3 linked regions of the Arabidopsis thaliana genome follow. The protein of the gene in region 3 interacts with the protein of the main gene of each other region in a biochemical or structural test. Each region holds a gene or a part of one and is shown on either strand. Other genes may lie near its edges.

Evidence for each region.
Region 1: the proteins of UBP1 (region 3) and UBA1A form a complex in vitro, tested with the Arabidopsis thaliana proteins (one study listed by BioGRID).
Region 2: the proteins of UBP1 (region 3) and UBA2A form a complex in vitro, tested with the Arabidopsis thaliana proteins (one study listed by BioGRID).

What each region holds. Positions count from the first base shown.
Region 1 is NC_003071.7:9,387,350-9,393,950, reverse strand, and holds UBA1A (RNA-binding (RRM/RBD/RNP motifs) family protein), read left to right. Parts: upstream 1-3,444; 5' UTR 3,445-3,500; coding exon 3,501-4,544; 3' UTR 4,545-4,901; downstream 4,902-6,601. Other genes in the region: AT2G22100 (RNA-binding (RRM/RBD/RNP motifs) family protein), read left to right, coding at 406-1,554; AT2G22088 (uncharacterized protein), read right to left, coding at 4,902-5,149, 5,411-5,567; AT2G22080 (uncharacterized protein), read right to left, coding at 5,954-6,358. UniProt on the Arabidopsis thaliana protein: Acts as a component of a complex regulating the turnover of mRNAs in the nucleus. Binds with high affinity to RNA molecules that contain U-rich sequences in 3'-UTRs. May function in complex with UBP1 and contribute to the stabilization of mRNAs in the nucleus.
Region 2 is NC_003074.8:21,047,116-21,055,704, reverse strand, and holds UBA2A (UBP1-associated protein 2A), read left to right. Parts: upstream 1-3,384; 5' UTR 3,385-3,560; coding exon 3,561-4,997; 3' UTR 4,998-5,022; exon of another isoform or gene 5,023-5,950; 3' UTR 5,951-6,978; downstream 6,979-8,589. Other genes in the region: AT3G56870 (uncharacterized protein), read right to left, coding at 187-348, 441-539, 614-1,011, 1,106-1,181, 1,261-2,628; AREB3 (ABA-responsive element binding protein 3), read left to right, coding at 7,811-8,551. UniProt on the Arabidopsis thaliana protein: Heterogeneous nuclear ribonucleoprotein (hnRNP)-like protein that acts as a component of a complex regulating the turnover of mRNAs in the nucleus. Binds with high affinity to RNA molecules that contain U-rich sequences in 3'-UTRs.
Region 3 is NC_003071.7:13,896,861-13,905,407, reverse strand, and holds UBP1 (ubiquitin-specific protease 1), read left to right. Parts: upstream 1-3,537; coding exon 3,538-4,784; intron 4,785-4,867; coding exon 4,868-6,631; intron 6,632-6,736; coding exon 6,737-6,977; 3' UTR 6,978-6,998; downstream 6,999-8,547. Other genes in the region: AT2G32788 (uncharacterized protein), read right to left, coding at 298-492; AT2G32785 (uncharacterized protein), read right to left, coding at 1,921-2,136; PAP13 (purple acid phosphatase 13), read right to left, coding at 7,205-7,321, 7,496-7,768, 7,853-8,043, 8,137-8,357, 8,443-8,547. UniProt on the Arabidopsis thaliana protein: Recognizes and hydrolyzes the peptide bond at the C-terminal Gly of ubiquitin. Involved in the processing of poly-ubiquitin precursors as well as that of ubiquitinated proteins. Is involved in resistance to the arginine analog canavanine (CAN).

The sequences.
Region 1 (6,601 bases), 4.5 Mb from region 3:
ATGATCCGATTTCGTTAGTTTAGCATTTATCGGTAGGTTTTTGTTGCCGTTAAACAAGTATGTGAATTGACCCGTCACTCACCGGTTCTTCGCCGGCACACAAAAACCAGAAATGTTGTATCTTTTTCCTTTTCTGTATTTTGACGTTTTTGCCCCTCTACTAATTCATGTTAAAAAAAAAAATTATGTGTTGCAAAAAAAAAAGCATGTCTGAGCCCGGGTTCGAACCGGGGACCTCTAGTGTGTGAGACTAGCGTGATAACCGACTACACCACCCAGACGTTTTTGTTAGACTCTTTACTTTATTATAAATATACTTAAATAATCTAGTGTTCTCTGGTGCACCCTATTTTAGAGGAGTTACTCTATTCAGAGTGTTTTTTTTGGTAGCCACTGCCGTCAACAATGGCGAAAGAAGGAGAAGAACGTAAGAAGGAGAAGAAAGAGAAGAAGGAGAGGAAGGAGAGGAAGCGTCGCGAAGCTGAAGAACTCGCTGTAAGAGAGAAGAAAATCTCAAAAAAACATAAATCGAAATCCAAAGAGGAAGAGAAACCAGAGAAATCAAAGAAGAAATCGAAGAAATACGAAGAAGTAGAAGAAGAGGAGAAATCTCCATCTCCATCTCCATCTCCTAAGAAATCGAAGGAGAGTAAGAAGAAACATAAGAGATCATCAGATGAATCCGAAGAGATCGTCGATTCAAAGCCTGTTACGGTCCCGATTGTTACCATTGAGTCTGATTCTGATTTCGAATTCGATAAGGAAGATATTAAGAATCTACTTGAATCTTACTCTAAAGAGGAGCTTATTAACCTAATTTACAAAACTGCTGAGAAAGGTTCTAAATTGATCTCAGCAGTGTTTGAATCAGCGGATAGAGATAGTTCTCAACGGAACATATTCGTGCGTGGTCTTGGATGGGATACAACGCATGAGAATCTCAAGGCGGCTTTTGAGGTTTATGGGGAGATAACGGAATGTTCTGTGGTTATGGATAAAGATACAGGAAGAGCTAAAGGTTTTGGCTTTGTGTTGTTTAAGACGCGTAAAGGAGCGAGAGCGGCGTTGAAGAATCCGGAGAAGAGAATGTATAATCGAACTGTTAGTTGTTTACCAGCTAGGCCGTTTAATTCTGGAAAGCCACGAGAACAACAACAACCGGTTGAGTCTGTGAAGATTGATTTGAGTCATACGGGTAATCAGAGTGAAATGGCTTTGCCTGGGATTGATTTGGGTCATGGACTTGATAAGGGACATCAGCAGCAGCAGAATATGTCAATGTATGCTGGACAGAACATGCCCTTTTATGGACATTCTCAGCCTCCTCCTGGTTTTAATCCTATGTATGGTGCAATGATGGGTAATCCGATGGTTGCTGGTTTACAGAATTATCGTATGTTTGGCTCGGGTATGATGAATCAAGGACCTATGATGCCACCGAATCATATGGGAATGGTGGGACAATATGTTGGTGATGGTAATGTTAACGGTGTTGGTGCGGGTGCTGGTGCTGGTGCTGGTTTTGATGGTGAACGTGCTTGGTATCTGAGATAAGAGAACCCAAGTGGTATGACCATGTTCTCTGATATTTCAAGTTATAGATTAGGCTAATGATTAGTCCGGTATCTTCGACTCCAACTTGATATTTTGGGAATTGCAGGAGTTTTTTTTGCGGATCTTTATTTTCTATGCCTGATGTTTCAAACCTACTTTTTTAGTTTCATTATTTATAGTCTCTTTTAACGAGGTATCTACCCCTATATGAGCCATTTTGAGGGAGATGTGTGCTCAAAGGATGAATTTTCTGTTGCTCTCTGGAAGTCTGTCATTGGTGTTCTGCTCTGTTCTCATAAACCAGTGAAATGTGGTCATTTTGTCTAGAAGATTTAGTTACTAGGATCAATATTGGTTTAAAGTAGTTTGCTATCTCTTTGTTTTCCCTTTTGGAGTCCCCCATTATGGTCTTCTGTCTTCTCCTTACCCATCAAACTCACGTCTGGTTTTCTTCTGTGGCATGGCGTATGTTTTTCTCTTTTGTTTTTCCTTGTTTTTGGTTTTATGTTTTCCCGCATTTTCATTGAATATCTGTTCGCTATAGCTGGAGAAGAAGCTTATGACATTTATAGTTTTGTCCACTATATGTCATAACTGCCAAAAGTCTGTATCTTCCAGCTGCAGTTGTCTTGAGACCCGTTTGTAGGATCAGACATAATGGTTTTACATTCTTGTTTTAAATCTGTCTTTTTGAGTACTGGAAAAAGTTTTGGGACTCTTTCAAAAGCTTCAAGTTGATTTTCTCTGGAATAAACAACCTGAGTTTTCTTTCCTTCAAGCATTGTTTTCTTCCCCATAGGTTTTTATAAGCTTCTCAATCTCTTTCATCACATTCCTCTTTTATGGTAGTGTCGCCCCTTTCTCTTTTGTATTTAAGAGTCCATTTTGATATCAGTTGCCAAGTTTTCTTGCCTAAGTTCAAGATTGTTTTTGGTCATCGGTACTTGGACCCAATTTGTTTTTCACCTTACATAGCTTTGTTCTGGATTTACCTTTTTTTTACCTGCTCGTTATTCATATTCTATATAACTCTGGTTATGGTAGCAAAGCATACTTGTTTTTTTTTTTTTTTTCTTTGGATTTTCACAATGACCTCACAGTGACCGATGATGCGAATGCTTGTTTTCTTAAGAGGATCAATCTTGTTTTCAGTTTTTCGATTTCTTAAGAGGATCAATCTTGTTTCTCGGTTTTTGGTCTTCTCTGCAGCTATCCATCCATCCATATGAATCAACTCGTATTAATCTATAGTATGCTTCAGCTAAATCAACTTTGGTTTGGTTTTGGTCATTTGATTTCGTTGTTTTGTGATCATGATCTTATGAGGGCTTTGTTTTTCTTTCCAATGGGGAAACTCTGAAAATCTTAAGAACAAAAACAAAACCCTCTCTAAGATCTCGGTGACTATTTTTTTAGTTTCTCATAACACATAAAGATAAAAAAGAAAGAAAAAAAAGTTTCAACTGGTGAATGAATAAACAAGTAGCAGAGCGACACCACCAATATGGCTAAAACCTCTGCCTAGCCAGGAATCTTTTCTGACGGCGCTCTAAAAGAAAAGTACCACAAAGTTCACACCCCGTAAAGTTAGGGAGCTTATGGTATTCCGGTTGATGTATAGCCATCATAACTTAAAGCCAGCATCTTGCCATGTAACCTCTACAAAGATCTAAGGCCTTATCTTAAATATAAAGCAAATATTTAAAAATATGTAAAATAATAAAAATATTCAAAATAAACCAATCCAAAAATAATCTAAATATTTGAAAATATATTCAAAGCAAAATACTCGAATAAAAAAAAAATTAAACTGAAAAAATCGGAAAAACGACATCTCGAGGATAAAGTAAATCGAACTCTTGACCCGAGGGGAAACAGGAAACTGAAATCAAAAATCAAAAATCAAAATCCCTAAAAGCTTCTTGACTCGTTTATCCTCTACTACAATGGCGAAAACCCTAGACAAATCTAAGAAGCGCAAACTCGTGAAATCCAAATCCACGAATTTCGATAAGAAACAGAAGATTAACAAACAACAACAACAACCAGAATCCTCAACGCCATATTCAAGTTCAAGCTCCAGCTCTGATTCTAGCGATTCCGAATCAGACAACGAATTCGACCCAGAAGAGCTCCGTGAGCTTCTACAACCTTATTCCAAGGACCAGCTTGTCGATCTAGTTTGTTCCGCTTCTCGAATCGGATCTTCGATCTATTCCGCCGTCGTAGAAGCCGCAGATCGTGATGTTACACACAGGAAAATCTTCGTTTATGGTCTTCCATGGGAGACGACTCGCGAGACTCTTGTTGGAGTCTTTGAAGGTTATGGTGAGATTGAAGAGTGTACCGTTGTTATAGATAAGGCTACTGGTAAGGCTAAAGGGTTTGGATTTGTTATGTTCAAGACTAGGAAAGGAGCTAAAGAAGCTCTTAAAGAACCGAAGAAGAGGATTCTTAATAGAACTGCCACTTGCCAGCTTGCTTCTATGGGTCCTGCGGCTTCAGGAAAGGGGCATGATCAACCTGGTCCGGTGAAGATTAGTATGGGTTCGATGGCTAATCATGGACAGCCTCAGCAACAGCAGGTACAAGGTCAACATGTGTTTAACGGTGGTGGAATGGCTGCTTCGCCGTTTATGTTAGGGAACCAATACCATCCGCTTTATGGAGCTGGGATGTTGGGAAATCCAGCTTTAGCAGCAGCAGCAGCAGCTGGGGGAGGTTACATGTATCCGATGTTAGCGGGTGCTCTAGCACATGGCGGGTTGGGTTCTGATATGGTACAGTCTAGTCAAATGGGTGGGATTGGTGTTGATCCAAGCGTTGGTGCTGCTGGTCTTTCAGCTCTAGGTTCTTACTTTAGAGGTCAGAGTCTGCCTAGTACTTATCCTGATTCGGATGCTGGTGGAAAAAGAGGGACGGGTAAAGATTCGGATGCTGGTGGCTCCTCCTTTCATGGCTACTCAAACTATTCATGGTACGTTCACTGAAACCTTTGGTGTTTTGTAGCAATGTTTGTGCTAATATTGTGGTTTGAATGTCTTTGGATAAGCATAAATTCATTGTAGCTCCGTCATGTGTAGATAAATGGATTAAGGCTTTTGTGGTAGTACCGGAATTTTATCTGACATTATTATGCCTCTCTAGTCAAATAGTTGGCTTAAATGCCTAAATATGTATATTCCTAGGAGGAACTGCTACAGGAATTAAATACCTAAATTATGTTCTAGAGGTAGGTTAGCATTGTCATCGGTTGCCGTAATTCATTATTCATGAATCTTGCTTCGACTCTATTTCAAGTAGATGCAATGTGACCCACCATACTTTTGTTTTTTTTGTTTTCTCCATTATTTTTCCTTTTGTTGGTTTATGTTTTGTTTTCTTTTCTTTACTGTCCCTGGTTTTACAGTTTTCTCAAGTGCCATTTGTTTTATCGAAGTTAGTTTCTCTATAGGTTGGTGATGGTGGGGACGAATATTGTTACATTCTTTTTGTCTCTTGGCTTTTTTTGTTTTAGTGTTGCACTGGGTTTTATAAACTGAACGTCCACCATCTCTCCACTCATCTGGTTTTGGTGCTAACGTCTTTAAACGGACTGTAAACTATAGCATCTGTTCATGCTGTTGCACTCATGGTTTTAGACTTAAGTTTGAGTTTTAACATTTTTTTTATGTTTGTCCCTTTGATTTCTATTGTTTTCACTTTTCGGGGTTATCTTACCAGAAAGATAGAGCATTGCTCTTGTTTCCATATGTTTTTCTTTTTGTCTTCAGCTTTTGATAGAGTTATGTTTTGTTTTGTTTTCTTGAACTCCAACTTTTGCAGATGGTGTGGGCTGAGCATGAGAATGATAAACATGCAGTTTCTGGGGATTTCTTTTTAACATTTCTATCAAAGTCAGTACGTTTTAGTTTTTTTTTGTATTGTTTTTTCTTCCTTTCTTTTTTTTTCTGTTTGATGTCACTCTTGTCCGATATCATACGATAGACAGTCTGTGGCTCAAGTAATATCATTGTGATTATTCGTTAAAGACCTCTGTGCAATCTGTATTGTGACCTCTGGGGAAAAAGGTTTGCTCTATGAGGACTCAATAGGATTTAACTTTCTTTTAACTATTTATGACAGCTAAAGTTGACCCTTGAAGTTGTTATATAAATTTGATCGCATTTGATGACCTCATAGAGATATGCATATATCATTAATGATGGGCTAAAGAAAAGAAAGCTGGTGCCATTGGATCTGAAAATGTTACACTAAACAAAGTCTTGGTTTATGGAACAACAAAGACACAGTTGAAGCTAAAGCTGATGATGCCTTAAGATTCTCTCCTCTTCAGGTAAAAACCGATAACAAGTTTTGATTTTTGAATCTAAAATGTTAGGAGATCAAAGCGGTTTGTTCACTTCTTCCTCTTCTTTGGTGGCTGAAGCGCTTCCTCATCATCTTCATCTTCTTCCTCTTCCTCCTCCTCTACCTCCGCATCCTCATCGTCGTCTTCTTCACCACCATCATCATTCTCGTCTTCATCCTCCTCCTCATCTTCATCATCGTTCTCATGGTTATCATCATCCTCGTCATCGTTACCATCATCCCCTTCAGGTTCATCATCATTATCTCCAGCTTCACCGTTCAAATCAGGATCACTTACCGGTCCTTTCTTGGTCTCCTTTCCTTCTGCATCATCTGCACTGCCTTCTTCGTCTTCTCCTCCATCATCACCACTATCATCATTGTTTCCATTGCCTTCCACTGCATCAACCACCTCATATCCATTCTCTATAACATCACCCTTCAAGACAGTAACCTGCAGCTTCATATTCATTTTATCACTACCAGAAACAATCTTTTACCAAGTTAACATGATTTTACAAATTGGGCCGACATACTAAATTAGGACATGGGCTTCTTCTAGACATTAAATTTGAAAAACTTGGAAGCATAATATATGGAATATACCTTTTTGATTTTTTTTGGACCTACAATTTATAATTTAGATTTTAAAAATCTATCTTAATATTCCCCATTAAAAGCAACCGTCCTCAACTAA
Region 2 (8,589 bases), on a different chromosome or scaffold from region 3:
GAGCATATTTCAAATATCTGGGCCTAATTAAAACTCGGCCCAATCAGGATTAGGACTCTATTACAGAAACTGAATCAGCTTCTTGGTTTTGTCTCAAGGTTGGGATTGAATCTAGAAAAAGATCGTTATATCTCATGAAATCTCAAGACATGAATGTACAAATGGTGTGAAGAGTTTTACATTACACTAAATTTTACAGTCTTTGGTTATGACGTATGATTCAGATTCCAAATCAATCTCAAAAACCTTGACATGGCATAGATCTCCTCCTGCATCATCTGCAAATCTAATCTTCTTTTTCTTATGAACAATGTTCTCAGTAGCTGGAGAATCTTCTCTGACCATACTCTGTAAAGGAAGGGAATGAAGAAGAGTTGGAGATTGAAGGAAGACAAATATCTCTTAGTCGTGTTTGTGAATGTTAAGAGTGTTAAACATACCATGAGTTTGCAAAACCGATTACAGTCACGTTCAATGATCGAAAGCCATTTCTTGCAACTCTCTTCAGTTTTTTCTGCATTTCCAATCACAGTTTTCACCTGAAAAGAGAAAGAAAGCCAACATTTAGAAATTGACAAACCAAATTTCAATTGCTGATAATAGACAAAAGTACCTCATCTAAGTTACAGTCAGACATGTTGGAGGTGTTGCTTTCAGCTTGCAGACATCTCTTTGTGATTTGTCTCATCGATTTCAGCTCTTTTGTGAGCCTAGCTGCAACATTTTGGAAATCACGCATTTGCCCTTGCGAGAAGGCAATAGCTTTCTGTGAGCATCCTTGTATAGAAGTGCCTCCAGTGCTAAAAGGCTGTGCTTTTGCTGCTTGAGTATTTCGACGTGGAAACTTGTGTGTCGCTCTTTGATACTTCATTTGCCGCGTATTATTAGTTGCTTTTTGAATGGCTTGCTTTGAGCTTGGAATGATTTCCACTCGGTCAATGTTATCCAGCCCTTGAGCCTTAAGGATCCTATGTGAGTTTTGGCTACTGAAGTAGAGTTTCCCTCTTGATTCTGGATTACAGTTTGTAACATGGATGAGCATCTAAAAGTTTTACAGTGCAAAGCATATAAATAAGACTTCAGTTTTCTTTTTTCATTGACTTACTTTTACTCCTTTTCTCAGGTGAATCAGGGTGCTCCATTGCCTTGCGAAGTTTTTCTTGAGAGGTGGGAGATAAAGCCTGAAAACCAAAATGTATCTACTAAGGAAACTGAATTAAGAATAGAATGCGGTTAGAAAAAATTATACAGAGGACAAACCTTTCTCCCAGAGAGTAGATTTTCTGGTTGGTGGTGTGGTTGTTGTTGCTGGATACTGTCAGTCTCTGCAACTTTTTGAACCTCATCAGGTTCCTTATACAGTTGTGATAGTTTGTGGTCTCCTGCTTCATCTTCATGTTTGGAGTATAAAGATTGTTGTAATCTTTCTGTCAAATGATCTTCTTCTTTTGAACTTGTGCTGTCTTCAGGAACTGGTTGCAGATTATCCAGTGAATTACAACAGTTGGTCAGCTGGAGAATATCAGTTGCTTCAGGAAAATTATCCTTAGTAATGTCTTCAGTTTCCCACACAATCTCGGAATCTTCTGCACAAAAATTGATGATGGACAAACAACCGGGGTAATCAATAGCAAGTATTTCTGGAGCTTCTATCTTCACAATCTCCAAACCAGTTACACTCATATCTAAGTTAGCCTTTATATCATTGCTTTCCTCATCCTCTTTATCTTCTTCTTCGCACCCAGAGCTTGTGTAAGCAGAAATGAAGTTCTTTACACAACCAATGTTCTCATATTCTGAATGTTGTGGATTAACATCCAATTCCATCTCCTCTCTAGACACACTAGAGTACAAAACAATTTGCTTATTCTGAAAATCAGCATCGCTAAACTCTTCTGATGCATCTTCAAAAGCTTCCTCAATGGCTACCACTCCGGGAAAATTTGGCTCTGCACTGCAGTATGGAACCAGCCTCATGTCACTGGACGAATCAAGCATTATTTCTTCCACCAACACTGTATTTATAGGAGATTCTGACTTTTCACTACAATCCATGGCTTCAGAAACTGAATAGCTATCATCCCAAACTTCAGGCTTGACATGAAAGAGCACCAACGGCAAATCAACCTTTTCCACAGATGGAGGAGAGGAAGTAGAAGTACCACACTTTGCTTTTTTACGCTCCTGCTTCTTCTTCCTTCTCTTGGAGAATTTCGTATCCCAACTGCTAAGAGGCTCCTCAATATCACATCCTTCATCTTGGGTCACATACTCTTTTTTAACTTCAACGTTCGAGAATGTCTCAGTAGTAGTATCTCTGCAGTTTCTAAGTTTCCTTTTCCTTTCTTTGCATTGTTTCTGAATCATCTCCAATGTTGTCATGCTAAAATCTTCAGACTCAGAACCTTGTGTAAAATCAGAACCATTGTCCAAATCCCTGACTACTCTTGGAATTGACTCAACACCTTGACTGTCTTCAAGATTGTATATATCCACCAACTGTCTAAATTTGAGCTTTGGTTTTCTTCTGCCATCCATATTCATCACTATTTTGATAGATCCGTCTTTAATGGTTCGGATATAATGTACATGAGAGTTCAAGTGTGTGCTACTTCTTAACTCCACCATTGTAACTATCAGATAATTACTTGCTAACAACTGATTAAGCTCGTATAATCCCCGCGCTCCTGGATTGAAACAAACAAAGGAATTACCGGTAAGGATACTGCTAAGTGCTAACAACAATAAACCAGAATCCTAAATTTCATTAAGCCAATCAGAGAAACGAACATCAATTAGCTACTAAACACAATTTGAAACCAAAACTCTTTTCTTAGAAAATCAATTGCACAAATCTGACCACGAAAAAGGACATGCAAATTAAAAAATGAAATTCACAATGGGCGGCGAAAACCCTAATTTCGCTACATCAATTTTTTTTGTAGCTGTATCGATTCGAGAATGGTAAAGAGCAGATCTGGGTAAAGTAGATGAATGAATCAAAGAGAAATTGAATCTAGGACATTGAATTTACCTTAAGTCTTAATCAACGCTTAATTGGATAGAGAAGGGAAATGAATGCCGAATCCTGGGCTCCAAACTCTAATTTCTGGATCTAGGGTTCACTAAAGAGACAGAGAGACATTAATTTGAAAACAAGACGAAGAAGAAGACCAAGAGACTGAAAATTGCAGCTCTTTGTAAGAAGGGAGGCGAAACCTTTTCTTTGGTTGTCTTGTCTTCTGAGTTCTGACTAATCTTATGAGCCGTCAAGTCTCGCGGGAAACACATGGCGGGAACTTTGACGTTATTCTTTTTTTCTTACTTAAGCATCTTTTCGTAAATGGGTCTTTAAACTTAAAGCCCAATAATCATTAATGGGCTTATATATATAAAATGGTTAGGGGTAAATGTGTAAAAATCCACTTAGCAAAGACTTGAGGTTGATGATATACCACCCACATAGCGGCGCATTATAGATAAGGAGGGGAAAATCAGCTTTTTGGAGAAGAAACCAAAGAAAACATTCGAAACCCTAAAATCTCCATTAGAATTCGAAAATGACAAAGAAGAGAAAGCTCGAAGGAGAAGAATCTAACGAAGCTGAAGAACCGTCGCAGAAGCTGAAGCAGACGCCGGAGGAGGAGCAGCAGCTTGTAATTAAAAATCAGGATAATCAAGGAGACGTTGAAGAAGTTGAATACGAGGAAGTAGAGGAAGAGCAAGAAGAAGAAGTAGAAGATGATGACGATGAAGATGATGGTGATGAGAATGAGGATCAGACGGATGGGAATCGTATAGAGGCGGCGGCGACGTCTGGATCTGGCAATCAAGAAGATGATGACGATGAACCAATTCAGGATCTGTTGGAACCATTTTCAAAGGAGCAAGTTTTGAGTCTTCTTAAGGAAGCAGCGGAGAAGCATGTTGATGTAGCCAATCGAATTAGGGAAGTAGCTGATGAGGACCCTGTTCATCGGAAGATCTTTGTGCACGGTCTTGGTTGGGATACGAAAACAGAGACGCTTATTGAAGCTTTTAAGCAGTACGGAGAGATCGAAGATTGCAAGGCTGTGTTTGATAAGATCTCAGGGAAATCTAAAGGTTATGGCTTTATTCTGTACAAGTCTCGTTCAGGTGCTCGCAACGCACTCAAGCAGCCTCAGAAGAAGATTGGTAGTCGTATGACGGCATGCCAATTGGCTTCTAAAGGACCTGTCTTTGGTGGAGCTCCTATCGCTGCTGCAGCTGTTTCAGCGCCTGCTCAGCATTCGAACTCGGAGCATACTCAGAAAAAGATTTATGTTAGTAATGTCGGAGCAGAGCTTGATCCACAGAAGTTGCTGATGTTTTTCTCAAAGTTTGGAGAAATTGAAGAAGGTCCTTTGGGTCTTGATAAGTATACTGGGAGACCTAAAGGTTTCTGTCTCTTTGTTTATAAGTCGTCTGAAAGCGCCAAGAGGGCTTTGGAGGAGCCACACAAGACTTTTGAAGGCCATATCTTGCATTGCCAGAAAGCTATCGATGGTCCCAAACCGGGCAAGCAGCAGCAGCATCACCATAACCCACACGCCTATAACAATCCTCGTTACCAAAGGAATGATAACAATGGTTATGGTCCGCCTGGAGGTCATGGACATCTCATGGCTGGTAACCCAGCTGGGATGGGTGGTCCAACGGCACAGGTGATAAACCCGGCCATTGGACAGGCCTTGACAGCTTTATTGGCATCTCAGGGAGCTGGTTTGGCTTTTAATCCGGCAATTGGACAGGCTTTGTTGGGTTCCTTGGGGACAGCTGCTGGTGTAAACCCAGGGAATGGAGTTGGAATGCCAACTGGTTACGGTACTCAAGCTATGGCACCGGGGACAATGCCTGGGTACGGTACACAACCTGGGTTGCAAGGCGGTTATCAGACTCCGCAACCTGGTCAAGGCGGTACAAGTAGAGGGCAACATGGTGTCGGGCCATACGGTACTCCTTACATGGGTCACTAAATGTATCATGTATCCATCCACTCAGGTAGAGCAATGAATTTCCCTTGTTTAATTGTTGAAATGTCTTTCCTCAGTATATATTAACTTACTGATGTCTGAAGACAAGAAGTTTCTGTGTATATCCACATGGTTTTTGTTTGCATTGGAGTTTTGGGGGATTTTGCAACGGTTGTTAAAGCATGTTACTTCTCTTATTTTCTTAAATTCATTGTGCAGATATCAGAAATCAGTGTTTTAATATTGGCCTGGTGATTCTTCTCAAGTTTATAAGGAGCTGATGCTAAATGAAGTCTTTATGAAATGTTACTCTTTGGTCACTCCTAAGGCCAAACTCATAAAAAACCTTTTAAGGAGTTTTAGTTTTCATCTACTTGTTTTTCCCAAACTCTCTTTATGAAATTCCTAAAAAAAACTTTGTACTACTATTTTCAGTGTTTATGTCTCTATTTTTTCAGTTTTCTGAATATCCCCCTTAGACTTTCATTTGTAAAACTAAAAAAGCGCAACTACGCTCCATGTGGGTCTTTGCTTATCGAACTCTAGTTTTTCCTAAATAGTTTTTATTGACTTCTCTGTTTTACGATTTCATGTGTTTTTCTGCCTGCAGTGTATTTTGTACCAAGTTATCTTGATTAACCTGGCTTTATGTACTATCCTGATTTTATGTTTGTTCAATTATTCCTCTTGCAGGTAATTGACTGCGGTTGAACAGCCAGATTATGTACCCCTAACTGTCAATGAAATTTCTTTAGCACACATATACTAATCTGAATGCAATTGGTTCTGAAATGATCAAAACTTGGAATTTTAAAATGCAGCAGAGCTCTCTCACTTGTGTTTTTGGATTTTCTATGACAAGTTTCAAAAGTTTTTACAATGACTATTTCAAATTAGAACTTTGTTTCCAAACTTATTTGTCATAAAATTACTAAGTTGCAGCCAACTTGGAACAGTCAAACTTGGTGGGAAGTGGTGCAAGCTTCTCAACGACACAGCTGAAGAATGATCTTTCTGAGGCAATTTCTCAATATTTGAAAAGTGGAAGCTATCGAATAGAGTTTCTCGACAACAGGCAGTTAAGTCTTTGGATCTCCACAACATGCTTGCAACTAAAAGGTAAGTTCAAAGTGTTGAGTATCTTCTTTGGCTATATACAACGTGCTTCCAATTGAAGGGTAAGTAATCAAAAGTGTTAAAAGTATATCTCTCAGTGCGAATCTCTTGCCTATATATGTTCTTGTTTATTGGTCCTAGTCCCTCTTTGAAGTGATAAAAGTTGGTTTTGGTCTAGAGAGCATGTACCTTCAGGTCCTTGTGCACAAGGTTCAGGGATTATTAGAAAAGTCACAAGAGTACGAGGTGATATATTATTTCCCTTAATGTTTCAGAGGAGTTTATAAAGGCGTGAATGCATAAAGTTTTTTTGGTGATGATTGCTTTGATGGTGAAATCTCTTTTTGGAAAAGTGCAGCTTTGAATATTATTTATGATGATGATACATAGTAGAAGGGTTCATTGATGATGAAGAAGAGAAGCAGAATATGAAGCTGAAGTGGAATTGGGGGAAGTAAGTAGTAGAGTTTTGTGTATTTGATCTCAAGTCAACAATCTCTCAATTGTTATGTCAAGTTTCGAAAAGGGAAAAAGGTCCTTCATTGATGAAGAGAATCCAAGATGCAATATTCTTCAAAGCCACATTCAATGTTCATAAAACCCAATCTGAGATTGGATAATAGAAAGTATAATTAAAGGTTTGAGATTTCAATATTGCAAAAAAATACATGTAAATTATTGCCTAAAAATGGTTTAACATGATTGCAGATTAATTTATAGTAATCACTTACCATTTAAAGAGAAACTCATAGGCATGAGGATTAGTGTTGAGAGCCAAAGAACATAAACATGTATATGTATAACCTTTTCTGATTAAAGTTTGATAATCAATCTACCTAAATTCCCATTGAAGCTAAATGAATGAAGGGTCTCCGAGCACATGTAGTGTTTATTGATTCCACCTTCATTTAAGTTAATCACTAATCATTAAGTGTTTAAACAAACCTCTGTTTCTTATTTTGATCGAAAGTTTGAGAAACCATTTTTGGGCAACTAAAAAAAGAAGAAACGCATTGAAAATTCCACAGGAGGCTTGAGAGGGGGGCATTGCCACAGTATCGAGTGTCACTTTCTCAATCAAAAGGTTTTCTCTCTCTTCTCTTTTTTCCTCTCCTGCGCGAAAACAAAACGAAGAGAGAGAGAGAGACTCAGACACACACAGACACAGAGTTTAGGTTTGCTTTGTAAATCTGTCTCTGCACTTATCATAGTTTCGTTTCTCTTTTGAGAAAGAAAAACCCAAACTTGCCATGTTTTAGATCTGGTCCTTTTTAAGCTCCAAAAGATTGTTGCTTTTTCTCTTGCTTAAGTTTTTGATTTATTCTTCTTCTTCGAAAAGTCTGTACCTCGCAAGAGTTTGATTGTCCTTGTGTTGCGATTTCCATGTTTAGTATCTGCATTTGATAGCCTTCGATGCTGCATGCAATTCCCAAGACTCTTTCTGATTGCTACAACGCCGTGATTTCTCTCTGCCATTTCCTTCGATTTGATTTCTGGGTTCTCTTCTTCTCGTCTCTCTTCTGCATGTTTCGCCACTCTACCTTAGAAAAAAGGTTACTTTCGCCTCCGATTTAGGCTCGATTTGATGAATTCGTCGTCGTGTGGCTATTTATCAAATTGAGCATTAGGGTTTCTGATTTGTGGGTTCAGAATTGTTTTTATCTATCTGTCTTGTTGTTTTTTGTCCGCTACAAAAGCCTATGGATTCTCAGAGGGGTATTGTTGAACAAGCTAAATCTCAGTCCTTGAATAGGCAAAGCTCTCTTTACAGCTTAACACTTGATGAGGTTCAAAATCACTTGGGGAGTTCTGGTAAAGCTCTGGGAAGCATGAACCTTGATGAGCTTTTGAAGAGTGTCTGTTCTGTTGAAGCTAATCAGCCATCGTCTATGGCTGTCAATGGTGGAGCAGCTGCTCAGGAGGGTCTTTCTCGCCAGGGGAGTTTGACTTTGCCTCGGGATCTCAGCAAAAAGACTGTTGATGAGGTTTGGAAAGACATTCAGCAGAATAAGAATGGAGGTAGTGCTCATGAGAGGAGGGATAAGCAGCCTACACTTGGGGAAATGACGCTTGAAGACCTGTTGTTGAAAGCAGGAGTGGTCACTGAGACTATCCCTGGTTCGAACCATGATGGTCCTGTTGGTGGTGGTAGTGCTGGTTCAGGTGCTGGTTTAGGGCAAAACATTACTCAAGTTGGCCCATGGATTCAATATCATCAGCTCCCATCAATGCCACAGCCTCAAGCATTTATGCCCTATCCGGTTTCAGATATGCAAGCAATGGTGTCTCAGTCTTCTTTGATGGGTGGTTTGTCAGATACACAAACTCCTGGAAGGAAGAGGGTAGCTTCAGGAGAAGTTGTAGAGAAGACTGTAGAGAGGAGGCAGAAGAGAATGATAAAGAACAGAGAGTCTGCTGCTCGTTCCCGAGCTAGGAAACAGGTGAGAAACAACTAATTTGTTGTTGTTATTCTTCTTGT
Region 3 (8,547 bases):
ATTTAGATATATGAGTGTTTTTTGAAGGACATTGAAAATGATTTCTTAGTCGTTTATCAAATACTACATTACGTACAAGTTGTAACTCGGTGATACGTTTTACTTTATATAGTAATAAATCATGTACATAGACACATATATACATATATACAAATGAATGATCACATATAAACACCATAAATTTAATTTAAAAATGAGGGTACAATATAATAAATATTCGATAAATAACATTATAAACGAAACAGAAAAAATAAAATATATATTGCAGTTCAGATGAGACTCACGACTTTGATGAATCTAGGGATTGGCCTTTTGTTTGAGACATGATAATCTAGGAAACTTTGGACTACATCCCCATGCATGATCTTGTAAGAGAACTTCGTAGCTTATCACATCTTCCGCATTGGTCTTGAGTGTTGCAAATGTGAAGAACACCATAATAAGAGCCATATATATTATTATAGCCTTTGTTGATTTCTTAGAGATACCCATATCTTTTTCTTTCTTTTTTTTTTGAATGAACGAAGGAAAAAAGCTTGAATTTATCTGTAGAAAGATTAGCTTTTTTGTTTTTTTTGTTGTGGAGAAACATGAAGGGATTATCAAACCTTTAAATAATATTCAAGATGGGAGACAATATTGTTATGTTTCTTTCCTTTTTTTGGCATGTAGATTTGGAGTATCTATCTAAAATATGGATATTGTTATTTTACTATTTTACTCCTAAAGTGATTAGAATTTAGTTTCACGTCTAAAGAGATATCGAAAGTTTTAAAGATTTTGTTATCATTGCAAGTTTGCAACAATATACTGGATAAACAGTTCAACAAAACTGAATCAATTAACAAAACAAAAAGACAGATTTATACTTTTGTTTTTCTGAATGGTACAAAAACAATAAACTGCAAATTACAGGCAAATTATGTTTTGATTAGTTTTTTTTTTTTTTTTTGAACCAAGTTTTGATTAGTTTTCTTAACTCGTTCAATTATCTGGTTTCTTCTTCGTAAATATGAAATGAATATTAGTCGATGGATTTACGGCCAGTCGGCCGCCTTGAAAAATCAGTAAGCAGTTTGGTAGTGGCGGACCCAGCCAAAAAATTAAGTGGGTACAAAATGTAGCCAGATAGAATCGAACCAGCCACCTTCACCATTTAATGCTTTGAAAGCTATAAACGTATCTTTTTTTTGGGGGCAAAAGCTATAAACGTATCTTAATCGGAAAAAAAGATACGTACATGAAAGCTGTTATAATCAAGTTTCTAACAAACATACAAAACCGAAATTCCTACTCTACTATAATATTCGTTTTAAGAACTAGTTATGATTTATGATTTTTACATTCTTTATATAACTTTATTTTAGCTGAAACGATAATTTATTCAAAACATGAAGTTCATATCCATATATATAAAATAAAATTACACATAGACGGTATTAATTTTCTTACGTATAACATAATAACTACATTAGGAAAGTCACTTTCTCATCAACTTAAGTAGTTTGTGCTAATGTCGTCGATATCAGCATTCACATTTAAATCCGTATGATACATGTTCTAGACAAAAGAAACTAGAAACACATAATTGTGTATATATAACCATTAAAATATAGATTGATTGATATGATCGTTTTCATCAACGATTGTAGAGAAAGATTACACTTTATTATCATATAAATTGCAATTTATCTATGAAAGGATAAAATAGGAATATATATATATATATATGAATATATATAATAATCATAAATAAATATATCTTAATCCATATAAAAGAATACATTTTCCCATTACCAAAAAAAAGAATACATTTGCCGCCCTCTTGTTCTCCATAATACGTTTTGTTGATTTCTTTTTTGAGATTTTTTGATATATATGACTCCGAATCGTGTTTTCATATCACAAAAATTCCAACCCCTATGAAGCTTCACTGTTTTTTGGGGGTGGCTTCGTATATGGATTTGCCCTAGTTTTCTGGCAAAACTGAGGATATTTTTGAGAACATCCCCATGCATGATTCACACGCATTGACTCATATGATATAACTTGCTCCCTGTTGATTGTATCCGCCTTAACAACAAAAATAATCAGTAGAGCGACACATAAAACCGATATTGCCTTCAACATCGCCATATTTTCAAAACGAACAAAGTAAACTAAATGGATTTACACTTACTTTTGATTATTTATTACTTTCTTATAGATTTCTAATTTCTAATTTTGCGTTGATGCTTTATAAAAATAGTTGGTTGCGTTTGCTAAATAAAGTTAATTGTTTTGGAGGTTCCTTAGTTATCCAATTCCAACAAGACTTTCTTTCACAAATGTAATTATTGTTATTAGTTCCAACTTCCAACAGTACATATATAAGATCTATGTTAGCTAATAACAACTAAATGTCGATCCAAAATTGATTCTTAAAATGTCAATCAAAGTTAGTTCTTTTTAGTTTTGTGTAGTGTAAAATTAGATAAATGTATTAACTCTATTTTATTTTATTTTGCCTTTTTTCCTGATTTTATCTACTCAGATTTTATTTTCCTTTTTGCTTACTCAAACTTTTTTTTTATATAATTATAAATAGTACATGGTCTACTTCTATAATTAAGTTACAAAACTATCTATATTCCCAGTTGAGTAGTTGACCTTTAAATATTTCTTTTCTTTTATTTAAAAACGAATTTTTTCATTTTATATTATTATTATTATTATTGGTAAAAGACGATTAAAAAAGAAAATTATTTGTGGGTAATTTTTTATTTTGTTTCCTTTACCCTTGTGACTTGGGTTCTCTTCGTCTCCCTCTCTCTTTGTCCGAGTAAGATACTGAATATATATAGTCTCTCTCGACTCTGTTACTCTCGACAACGTTGGCAAAAAAAAGTAAAGAAAAAAAAACGAACTTTGTGAGTTGTGACAAAACCTTCTTTGTGCTCGTATCTCTCACAAATCCCTAGATTAGGTTAGTTTCTAATCTCTTGGACTTCGTTTCGTCTTCCATCCTTCTCACGTTTAATATTATTCTCTTTGATTCTTCTTCTGCTTTGTGGGTTTAAGGGTAAAACATATGGACTCTGCTTTTTTACAACTTTTATTTAAAAAAGCATCTGTTTTTTGCGTTTAAGGTTTAGTTGACTACTAGTATTTAGTATAAAAATCCCAACTTTTTAGTTGTTTAGACCACTGGAAGATTTTGACTCTTTGAATTTCGGATTTTTGTTGGGTAGTTTTTACATACTAAGTATTGTAAGGTAAAAAGTTGGAACCTTTTTGCAATGTGTGTGCTAAAAGAATCCTGGGGTTTGTTTGATTTTCATTAATGTACAAGTTGATTGTTACTCCTTCTCTGTTTGTTTCGTCTAATGCTTCATTATTTATTTGCTAAGCTGTGATTTGATTATTCGGATGAAGCTAACATCTTTCTGTATAATGGTGTCTTTACGCAGTCTCCTTTGTCTGGCTTTGAAAGTTTGGTATATTTATAATTAGTAACGAATGGGAAAGAGATTAAAGAAGGGTCAAAAGCCTCCATATATGAGGTTTGCTGCAACGGTCTCCGAGAAGCAATCTGAGCAAAGCGTGGAAGTAACTGAGGAGTTTGCTGTGACAATGACAGAAAAAAGATCTTGTGTCCATTTTGATAAATATGTTGATTTGGATAAGTTGTTGAAAATTATCAAATCTTATCAACAAATCAAGTGTGGAGAATGCAATGAAAGAGTTCACGTGAAGAGAGGAAGTAGATGGGGTGCTAGTAACAGGAGAGACTGGTATTCTTCCTCTGACCAGAATTGTGCTAGAAATGCTATTTGGCTTTGTTTGGAATGTGGCTATTATGTTTGTGGAGATGTTGGTTTGCCGACTGAGGCTCAGAGTCATGTTATGGGGCATAACAGGTTGACGCGTCACCGTTTGGTGATTCAATGTAAAAATCCTCAGTTAAGGTGGTGTTTCTCATGCCAATCACTTCTCCCTTTTGATAATGAAGAGAATGGTGAGAAAAAAGATTTGTTGCTGGAAGTTGTGAAATTGATTAGAGAAAGATCTCCAAACACGTACTCTGCTTCATTTGAAACTGAATTTTCATGTTCAGGAAGTATCTATGGTGGTATAGAAGCAAGAGATGGTTATGCTGTAAGAGGTTTAGTTAACCTTGGGAACACATGTTTCTTTAATTCTGTAATGCAGAACCTTCTCTCTTTGGATCAATTACGTGAGCACTTCTTGAAAGAGGATCTATCTGTTAGCGGGCCTCTCGTTTCTTCCCTGAAGGAACTATTTGCTGAATCAAATTCAGAGGCAAGCGTTTTTAGGAATGAGATAAATCCAAGAGACCTTTTCTTTTCTGTCTGTTCTCAGGCTCCCCAATTTAGGGGATATCAGCAGCATGACAGTCATGAGTTGCTAAGATGTTTGTTGGATGGTTTGAGCATTGAAGAATCGAGCCTGAGGAAGAAGCTTGGTGTTTCTGATAGTAATGACAGTTCTACATATCAGAAACCTACTCTCATAGATTCTGTATTTGGAGGTGAAATATCGAGCACTGTTTCTTGTTTAGAATGCGGACATTTCTCAAAAGTGTATGAACCCTTTATGGATCTCTCTTTACCCGTTCCGTCCATGAAACTTCCTCCTAAAAAGCAACAAATCCTTTCTCAGGCAAAGGAGGTCCTTAAGAATGGGGCAGTCAGCAAAGATTCAGAAGTTGTGTCCGCTAAACCTGCATCGGATCACAATTCCACAGTTCCACTCTTTCCATCGGATCACAAGATTCAAAGCAGGTCTCTGAAATCACAATAGATACTGATACGGAACAGGATAACTTATGGTCCGAACATGATGACTTTTGGTCGAATTTTCTTAGACCAGAAACCTCTGACAATGAAACCGATTTGGTTTTGCTAAGCGATGTTAGTGATACTGCCCCATCAACCGAGGCTAAAGGAGTTAATCAGATTTTGGTAGGTAGCACAGAAACGCTGATGCATGATAATGATCGAACTGGAAAAACTGTACCAGATAAAGAAGATGTACGAGCTACGCAGTCTAATGAAGAAACATCTGCAAGTGGGATTTCAGCAGTGATAGATGAGGCTCAAGTTTGCGGTTGTCCTGATTTAGAGCAAAGTTCTTCATCTGCAAATCAGGGGGCTGATGAAGAGCTTGCCTTGATGGTTGCAGATTCTCAGGTTCTGTATATGCCTTATAAAGATCACTTATTCTATGATGATTATATGGTTGCAGAAGCTTCCTCGTCATTCGTGAGCGGTGACCATGAACCAAAAAAAGACTATTTTGACTTTAGCAGTTTTCTTGATGAGCCTGAGATACGCGAAGGACCTGTTTTTAGACCACTATCTAAATCTGAAGTTTATGAAGCTGGTTTTAAGGCTGACTGCAGTGATGATAAAACAGTTAGTGCAGGTAAGGGTGAAGCTTCCTCGTCATTCATAAGTAGTGACCATGAACAAAACATAGATTATGTTGACTTTAGCAGTTTTTTTGACGAGCCTGAGATATCCGAAAGACCTTTCTTTCGACCGCTATCTAAATCTGAAGTTTCTGAAGCTGGTTTTAAGGCTGACTGCAGTGATGATAAAACAGTTAGTGCAGGTAAGGGTGAAGCTTCCTCGTCATTCGTAAGCAGTGACCATGAACAAAACATAGATTATGTTGACTTTAGCAGTTTTTTTGATGAGCCTGAGATATCCGAAAGACCTTTCTTTCGACCGCTATCTAAATCTGAAGTTTCTGAAGCAGGTTTTATGGCTGTCAGCGGTAATGATAAAACAGTTAGGGCAGGTAAGGGTGAAACTTTTTCTTCATTCATGAGCGGTGACAATGAACGAAACATAGATTATGTTGAGTTTACTAACAGAATATTCGATGATCGTGGGACATCTGAAAGACCTGTTTTTGGACCACCATCTAAAGCTAAAGTTTCTGAAGCTGGTTTTGTGGCTGTAAGCAGCGACTCTGATCCTGCAGTTCTTGATGAATCGGATTCACCAGTGTCTGTAGATAGGTGTTTGGCTCAGTTCACGAAGCATGAGATTTTGTCAGAAGACAATGCTTGGCATTGTGAGAATTGTTCGAAGAACCTAAAACTTCAGCGGTTGAGAGAAAAGAGAAGAACTAAAGAAGGATTGAGCAACAGATGGGTGAATGAAAATGGAGCTAGTTCGGCTTTTGATGAGTGTAGAGACAGTTCACTAAATCAATCCTGTATAGATCTCGAAAACGGTTACAAAGCTGCTCCTCCGATCACAAAATTGCCAAACTGCAAGGAAGAGGAAAGCGCAATAGATGATGGATTTGTGGGAGAGGAAAATACAAAGCAAGCTCCAATTACTTCTGTTACTGAAACACCTCTCCTCGGTGGAGAAACCATCAGTTCTCAACCAGCCAGTGACAATGAATGTGAAAATTGGGAAGACTTGGCAGTAGATTCTGAAGAAGTGATAGTAAAAAGAGATGCTAGGAAAAAGGTACTTATAAACAAGGCACCACCTGTCTTGACCATACATCTCAAAAGGTTCAGCCAAGATGCTCGAGGCAGGGTAAGCAAGCTAAGTGGCCATGTTGATTTCCAAGAGTTCATCGATCTTAGCAAATACATGGACACTAGGTATGCCCATTTTCTCTATATACATAATCTTTTCTTTTAATGTTACCACATTTGGTCAGAAACCATCATAAAATCCACTAATCGTTAATTTCTCTCGCTCTCTAGGTGCTCCGAAGAAGACGAGCCGGTTTACAGGTTGGCCGGGTTAGTGGAACATTTAGGGGCAATGAGTCGAGGTCATTATGTTTCTTACATTAGAGGAGGCCACAAGGAGAGGAGAGACTCTGATACTAAAGAACCAAACTCATCCATATGGTATCACGCAAGCGATTCTCAGGTTCGACCGGCTTCTTTGGAAGAAGTTCTCCGTTCTGAAGCCTATATCTTATTTTACGAACGAATCTGAGAACACGGAGGCTGGATATCTTTTTTTTTTTTTTTTCTCTTTCTATAATTTAGGTTAATAGAACAAGATAGGTTTAACGTTCTTCACACATTGTGCTGGTGAACTCTCTTGACTTAAGTTTAGCATTTTGCCTTGTTTGAAAAGTTAAGTGTTTTTACGTTCAGCTTATAGATAATGGCTACGTAAACTGTAGAACGTTATAAAATCTACCGGTATAACTACTTGGTTTAGTTGCAAACCGAGCACATTTCAGGCTGACGTACAATATGTATTACGTCGGCGGCGAGATAGTACAGGTCTTGATTCCGGTTCCAGCTCCACAATGCATGCGTCTCATTCTTCACCTGAAAAGGCCAACGTAAAAAAAAACACTTCGTTTTAAGCAATTTTAAATTGGTACAATCTGAGAAAACAACGGACCGGTTCTGAGTTTGATCCATGATGCTTATGCCCAAGAACTATTCTTAGTAGGTTACTTGAACATCAAGCGATAAAGAATAGAGAGAGATCTAACTTACTTCTAGTATACCGAAACCGAAGCTGCTTTCTCTGTATGCGCTATACTCCGGCTGCTTAACCGGACAAGTCTCATCTTTTACAGGCTCCAACGTGGAGTTCAAGCCGCTGGATCTGCACGAGTAGTTCTGAGAAGGATCTGGAATATTTCCTGGGTCGTCTACATGCTGAGTCTCCAGCTTCCCAGCTCCTCCTGCACCGGTTGTTATATAAACCGGGCCACATTGGTCTAACGTGTAGTTGTAGACTCTGTTTGATCTCTCATATGCATCAACCTAGTTCAGGTTTTGTGGGAAATTAGCGTAAAAGAAGATATTTCCCAAAAGCAAAGGAATACTTTAACAGAACAACACACATACATGACTATTGAAGACGATATCGACTCGGTAGTTATAGAGCAAGTCTTCAAGGTGAATCCTCATTGATTCAGCTTCTCTGTAATGCCCTTTGAATGTGCTGTACCAAGGAAGACTCCAAGTTGCAACCACCCATGGAGTTTCTGATCTGTTTATTTTGATCAGGTCACTTTCAAGCCAAATATACTGATCAGCTGTTGAAGAAACAGGGAATTAAGAAAATCAGAAACACATTTCAATGAAATTTAAACCTAAAGAGAGAAAATCAAAACCTGGAGAAACTATACATGAGTTATCATAAAGTGTGTATGAATTGAGCACTATGAAATGAGCTCCTCCCGCGTTGAAAGAATAGTATAATGGTGAGAAAGAACCGCTTTCGTTTGAAGGGAATGCGAATCTTGAACTGTATGCAGCGAATGTCAGATTATTCTCGGTCTGCGGCTCAATCTCGTGCTCCCCTGCTACCATCATGGTTGGAACATTAGCCGTGAGTGGCTCCATGAACCTGTCATCAAAGACAAAGCCCCCAATAATTTAGTGTTTAAAACCATCAAAGGATTCACAATCACTAGAGAAGAATCTTCTTTTACCTTCCCCAATAATCCCAGCGAGGCTGATAAGTTTCTCCACTAGAATAACAAGAACCACAATCAGAACTAGTTCCATTTTGGTCACAATGACAAGAACTACAATCT